Linked DNA regions of Cricetulus griseus. The main gene of each other region encodes a partner of the protein of the gene in region 2 in a complex. Links are inferred from orthologs where the notes say so. Each region holds a gene or a part of one and is shown on either strand. Other genes may lie near its edges.

Region 1 (2,606 bases), on a different chromosome or scaffold from region 2:
TCTTTTTCTTTTTTTTTTTTGGGGGGGTTTTTTCGAGACCGGGTTTCTCTGTGGCTTTGCAGCCTGGCCTGGCACTCGATTTGTAGACCAGGCTGGCCTTGAACTCAAGAGTTCTGCCTGCCTCTCTGCCTCCTGAGTGCTGGGATTAAAGGCGTCGCCACCACCGCCAGGCTCCTTCCCACTCTTAAAATTGAGGAAAAAAACAAAAACAAAAACGAGGACTAAACAAGTTGAGTGCCTTTACTCCTTAAAGAGGGGGTAACAGTACCAGTTTCGTAACTGCCAATTAAGTCTTTATGCCTTTATTATTCTTTGAGGAATTCGGAATGTTATTTAAAGGGGCCACAATTTACTCCAGGGACTGGAGTATATTTTCAGTGAACGCTGACCTTTGTAGGAGTCTTTCTCAGCCTTTCTTCCCCAACACCCTAACACTCATGGCGCATTGCTACTTCAAAAGTGAGGGCTTACCATTGTTCTCAAGTGGCCTTGTACTAGCAACGGCACTACACTCCCCCATCTTTCCCTCCAATCACACACAAAATGAACTTTCAAGACATTGTCTCTTTAATAACCTGGCAGTAATTCAAAGCATAAAAAAAAAAAAAAAGTTAAGACTGTTCCTTTTACAGGCGATGCCCATCACGACAGACTCAGTCACGTAGTAAGATAGGATTCCAAACAGCATGGGAAGGCTTCACTGCTCACGGACTGACGCCTTTGGTTATTGATAATCGGCCTGGGGTAGGGCAGCACATGAAAATTAACGAACCCTCAGAGAACAGGACGCGGTTGCTGGGTCATGAGCACCTTGAAGCGTCTCTTGATGGTGATTCGGTGTCTTGAGTATTTGTCGTCAGGGGAGAACCGAGCAGGATGGGCAGAGCAAGTCTGTTGTCCCATAGGGTCAAATTTCTGCTCGAGGAAAAAAAGAAAATGATCTCAATACATGAGTGGTGTGCTAGCAAGGGGACAACAAGAAAATGGGAAAGCTGAAGCCAGGAGACGCGGCGGTCAGAACAAGAAGTCGTGCAATGCCGGCATCTACCACGTTTCGGCCCGGACGTGGCTCCAAGCACCCGGCTGCGCTGGCCGGCGGCCGGTTCCAACTGTTCCTCCCACCTAAATTTCTTGTCCTCCCGACTTACAGCTGTTTTCTCCCCTTACCTTCAACGTATAGACGCGATCGCCCTGCTCGTTGAGGTAATACTGGAGAAACATGACTGCAACTCAGCACGAAGATCCTCACTCTTCCGCAGCCAGGCGCGTTTGCCTGGAATACACCGCCTCAACCGTGTTCGCCAACATCCTTCCCATCTGACCGGAAGTCGGTACAAGGCATGCCGGGAAATGTAGTCCATTTCTCCAGTCATATCCAGTTGACCAGAAGGGGGCACAGTGGAGCAGAACTTGGCCTTGGTCTTCCCAACTAGCTACAACCTTGCAAAGTTGCCTTGCAAAGAGCCATGGAATTGCCCACTGTGTGCCAGGGACTCCCAGACGTTGGGAGGTAGGGATGGGTGTGGGTTAAATGTTGATGCATCCAGTCCTGTCTTTACTCTCAAATTGCTCACCCATTTCAGAGGCATTAGTTTTGTAGTTCCTGGAGAAACAAGGGTTCCAGGATACTCAACCTCCTATATCCTAGGGAAGATGTAAGATTTTTTTCAGACCCCCACTTTTACATCCGGTTCCCCGCCCCATTTCAAAGTGTTGGCGGTAAAGAGTGCATGATGGGTATTCGATATTATGCAAAGCGAAAAGAACGTAAAGGTTTTCTTATGAAACTGGTGAATTTTGTTTTAGAGGCTGCACCAAGATTCAAACTCAGGACCTGACCACAAATTCATCTCTTTCTTACATGGTGAGTAGCGAATAATATCACAGTAAGGTAACTTTCTTGGAGTATTTCCAGTTTTTCAAAGATAAAAAGTCTTATAAGAGTCTAGTTTAGAAAAATTAAAATTAAAACCAAGATATTGCAAAATGACCATTGTAGCACTATTCATAGTGGCAAAAATATTGTAACATATTAAATTTATAGCCAGAAAAACTTTAGTTTTTTTTCTCTTTTTTTCTTTTTTTTTTTTAGTAATGAATATAGTTGGTTTACTTGTCGTCTCATAAGATATATTAAAAAAAACTAGGGAGTTTAACACCGGCTTGTAACCCCAGAAGTCCGGAGGCTGAGGCGGAAGGATCTCTAGCAACCAGTAGGTTCAAGGCCGACCTGAGCAGTATTCGAGCAGTAAGACCCTGCTTTAAACTGAGAAACAAAAAGCCAAACGGTGTGTGTGTGTGTGTGTGTGTGTGTATGTGTGTGTGTGTGTGTGTGTGGTGTGTGTGTGTGTGTGTGTGTGTGTGTGTGTGTGTGTGTGTGTACACGTGTACACGTGTACACATGCACGAGATTTTGCGAGGGGCGGGAATGTACTAGAAACAGTTAATATCGGCATCTTCTGGCTTGGAGGAGGATTTGGTTACAGGGAAATGGATGGAAAGAATGCTTGCTGCTGCGTATTTTATTTTGCATGCCCTGGGTTTTTTGTTTGTTTTGTGTGGTTTTTGTTGTTGTCTACCGTTTAACACACACAGACACACACACA
Region 2 (4,239 bases):
CTATTGTTCACTTATTCTTTAGACTAAAATCACTAAACCTTCAGAGGGAAAGAAATTTATTCCCCTTCCCAAGTGCTGTGTGGAAATAGTACTTTTACAAAAAAGAAAAGAAAAAGACATGCACAATTTCTGGTGCTCAACAAGAAACTGCAATACAATGACCTGCTCTTCAGACTGAAGATGCAGTAGCAGGCAATATGTATATCGTGGCAGCCTTGCCATTATAAGAATCGTCCTGTACTGGCCGACTGCACTTAGGACCTCTGGGCGCCCCTGGCCAAGGCCCGCCCCTTCCGCTCTCAGGACGTGAGGAATGCGTTCAGCAAGGGAATGGCTCACCCCAAGACCGGATACTCGGTAATTTGTTTTTCCGGCACGAACAAACGACCTATTCCCACACTCTATTAAATAAACACCTCCTCCTCTGCAAAAGTAATAACGAAGTAATCCAGGAAAATGCGATGATCGAGGGTGGCAGTTTCCCTTCCTCAAGCACCAGCCAGGAATACATTTTTTTTTCCCATTCCTACTCCCCTCTGGTCGAGTGATCGATGAGCTGCTCCGGAAAAACCGGAAATGCTCCTGCAAGCGGCAGAAATGCAAACAATAACAGGGTCGGCGGGCCTTTCAGATCCAGACAATTAGTTCGGGCCACAAATGCAAACACTTCTCACTAGCGAGACTGACAGTTTTTCTTTGGACTTTCTTCGACTAGCAGGGTTGGGGTGGGGCTGGAAAAAAAAAATCACTCCAGGAACAAAGGTCCGGAAGTTGGAGACCTTAACAGCAGGACTTCCCGGATCACCCCGATTTAATTAAGGAATGGAGCCCGAGATTTCATTAGGATGCTAGGGGCTCTAAAGTCTTAAGCTGTGAATCTTGAAAGATCTCACATCACAGTGCTTTGTGCATGTTATTCCTGGGGCTTCCACCACCCAGCAGCTAGTCGATAAGTGTGTGGCGGGGAGAAAAGCGCCGGCTCAGTGGTCCCCAAATTCTCTATGTACTTCTTCTCAGGTGTTCGGCTGCTTGGTCCTAGCATCCCCACCATCTACATTCATCTACATCATGCTCAAGATTGTATTCATGGTCATCTCGCCCGCCAAGTTTCCATTCACCCCACCTCGCCCAACCTGCTGAGTCCCCCACTGCCCCACCCCCCAAACCCCGCGATTCTCTCTAGCCTCCAATTATGCGAACCGAGAGCCGGTGACTCAGAGAGGACTCATCAGGCTCACCCGGTAACTTACCAGGTCTTCAGGGGGGAGCGTGTTACCCCGCTGGGAAGTAGATTCCGGACCCGGATGCCAGGGACCCCCTGATCCCAATAGCTACCTGCAGCCAGGATGGTAGACTCCAGCACAAAACTTTTCAGGAGCACATGGGAGGGGAAAGTCCCTATCCCAGCATTCCTCGCGAGACTGCTGGCACAAAGCTGGATAGTCGCCATGACAAGTAAGGGCAAGCCATTCTGTGGGTGGAGGGCAAGAAGCGGAGGGGAGGGGCAGTTACACAGCCGGGATTCTTTCTGCGTTGTTGCCATCCATTCGATCGCTTTGTGAGAAGTACTCTAAGACGGAGCTGTGAGGGCAAAACTGGTGGAAACCGCTTCGGAAGAGCGCTGAACACTGCTCTTTCCGATCTAGCTGTATAGTTGGAGTCGTCTTCTTTTTGGCTTTTTGAAACAGTGTCTTTATAGCCAGGCTGGCCTCGAACTCGCGGCAGCCCAACTGCTTTAGCCTCCCACGTATAGGGATGAGCCAACGCGGGCAGCGGTTTTTTTTTTTTTTTTTTTTTCTCACCAGCTAAAATGTCACTTTAGAAAGGCTTTTCTTAATATCTCAATCTAACGTGTTCTCCAAGATACTTCATATCACACCATCTTGTTTAATTTCCTGTACAGTCCTTATCACTATCTGTGGAGAGTGTTTTCACAGCCTTCAATTGCACAGCCACGACAATTTTATGGGCATAGAGAATTTGCAAATTGTTTTCTCTAGTTCCTCGTATGCTGCTGGGTAGGAAGTAAGAGCGTGATAATAAATGTTGAAAGGAAGAAGGGAGGGAGGGGGGAAGGAAGGGAGGTGGGATGGACAGGATGGGAGAATGAAGGGAGGGAGAGTGGGAGAAGAGGGAGAGAGGGAGAAAGGAAATCTTTTGAGGTTGCCCGACTCAAAACGAGATTCAAGAAGGGCAAAACTGTAGAAATTCAGCGCCCTCTGCAGGTCATGGAGGGAAGGTACCTTAAGAATCACCCCAGCGGACGGTAGGGGGAACGCGTGTACTCTTCTCCAAGTCAAAGAGAAGACTACAACTCCCAGAATCCTCTAAGAATTCTCTAGCGCTTGAGGGCTGGGCCCCCTCGTTCCTTCCCGCCTCACCGCTCAGACGCTAATTAGGATGCAGAGAACCAATTGGAAGGTGGCCCGACTCCCGCGAGAGCAAGAAGCGCTGGCGGCGCGTAGCGACCCCAGGTGCTTTGCTCTCTGCTTTGGTTTCCCGGTGTTTGCTCACTGTTGCTGGCTTCGGCTTACTCTTCCCGGAAGAGTAAGGCAGGCACGTTGGGGCTGTGCAGTTCTGCACCCGGATTCCTGGGGACTTTAATGCAGTGTGGCCTCAGCAGCTGGCAGCCGGTGCAACGAGGCTTGCCCGGCCCCTGACCTCCTAGCTTGCTCTACAGAATGAAGACGTCGGAGGAGCGACTCTTAGTCCCGGACAGTCTCTCTTCTGACCAGGCCCCAGCTCCAGTGCCCCAAGGGACCCCTGTGGATGAAAATACAGACTCTGAACCGGTGCCACCGCCATGCGGTGGAGATGACCGACCCCAGGTAGCCACAGATTCTGTGGCTGGCTCGGTTGTGTTCCAGGATCCGCAACAAGGGGATCTAGTTCCTCCCTCCGCTCCCCTGGAAGTAGGGTTTAATACTCCCGGTGAGTCGAGCCCTCGAATCGAGGAGCAAGAACTTTCTGAAAATGCGAGCCTTCCTGTGACAGAAACGAATCGGCCTGAGTTGGAGTCAGGAGAAGCCGTGGAAGATGTGTCTGAAGAACCCGGTCAAGTGGATGAGGGAGACACGTAAGTGACTCTGGAGTCCGAGGAGCCTGGACATAGGAAAACGACAGCCTCCAGTCCTCAGCTCCGCCCCAGGCCCATTTTGCTGTAACTTACCCGTTTGTTGTTCTCCATCTCTTTTCTAGCTTTTGGACCTACAGCTTTTCACAGGTACCCCGATACCTCAGCGGTTCCTGGTCCGAGTTCAGCACCCACTCTGAGAACTTCTTAAAAGGTTGTAAGTGGTAAGTACAACGGGCAGGGAGATGACCACCTTCAGGGTTTTCATCTTAAAGCCCACCCGTATTTGACCCGTCGTAGTTGGACAGCCCTGTAATCTCAACATCTTGGAAACAGGGAGGATTGGGGGTTGGAGGTCTGCCTTGTCCATAGAGTGAGAGACCCTGTCTTAAAATAAGAACAAAAACTAGTCTGGGTGGTGGTGGCACATGCCACTCGGCAGAGAGGCAGGAGGATCTCTGAGTTCAGAGGCCAGCCTGGTCTACAGAGCGAGTTCTGTGTAGCCAGGGCTACACAGAAAACCCTGTCTCAGAAAAAAAAAAAAAAACAAAAAACAAAAACACAAACAAACATACTTATCTGGAGGTGGTTAAGGAATAAGAATACTGGTTAGTACCCAGGTTAAGGGTTTTTTCTTTTCATTGTCCTGTCGATCTTTCCTTCCATTTCTAGTACTGTGGATTTAGCCTAGGGTGTCCATCATGCTCGCCTGACCCTCACCAGTAGGCTACATCCTAGACTTTTTTTTTTTTTTTTGCTTTGTTTTGAGATACGGCCCTGCCAAGTTGTCCAGACTGGCCTGGAACTTGAGGTCCTCTGCCTCAGTCTCTCAGTAGCTGTGTGCCACCACTCTCCGCATGAGCTGAAGTTTTACCTAGGACTGATTGGTGTCTTCTCAAGGGCATATGTACTAAGATAGTTCTAGACCTACACCTGGAAATCATAGGTCTGTTCAGTTTTCTAATTTCCCTATGTTTTTAGGGCTCCTGATGGTTCCTGTATCTTGACCAATAGTGCTGATAACACTCTGCGGATTTACAACCTGCCCCCAGAGCTGTACAGTGAGGCAGAGCAGGTGGACTATGCAGAAATGGTAAGGGGAGTTGCTGACTCTGTCCCTTTGCCGGGCCTACACATGAGAGCCCTTCCTGCAAATGAGGAGAGTG

The links. The genes of interacting proteins can lie anywhere in the genome.
Region 1: Wrap53 (region 2) and Nop10 share a complex: the UniProt entries of both Homo sapiens proteins name them as parts of the telomerase holoenzyme complex. The link is inferred for Cricetulus griseus from reciprocal best matches to the Homo sapiens genes WRAP53 and NOP10.

What each region holds. Positions count from the first base shown.
Region 1 is NC_048599.1:66,084,304-66,086,909, forward strand, and holds Nop10 (H/ACA ribonucleoprotein complex subunit 3), read right to left. Parts: upstream 1,310-2,606; 5' UTR 1,222-1,309; coding exon 1,168-1,221; intron 916-1,167; coding exon 775-915; 3' UTR 545-774; downstream 1-544. UniProt on the Homo sapiens protein: Required for ribosome biogenesis and telomere maintenance. Part of the H/ACA small nucleolar ribonucleoprotein (H/ACA snoRNP) complex, which catalyzes pseudouridylation of rRNA.
Region 2 is NC_048600.1:83,418,735-83,422,973, reverse strand, and holds the start of Wrap53 (telomerase Cajal body protein 1), read left to right. Parts: upstream 1-1,324; 5' UTR 1,325-1,381; coding exon 1,382-1,455; intron 1,456-2,680; coding exon 2,681-3,076; intron 3,077-3,198; coding exon 3,199-3,297; intron 3,298-4,054; coding exon 4,055-4,166; intron 4,167-4,239. UniProt on the Homo sapiens protein: RNA chaperone that plays a key role in telomere maintenance and RNA localization to Cajal bodies. Specifically recognizes and binds the Cajal body box (CAB box) present in both small Cajal body RNAs (scaRNAs) and telomerase RNA template component (TERC).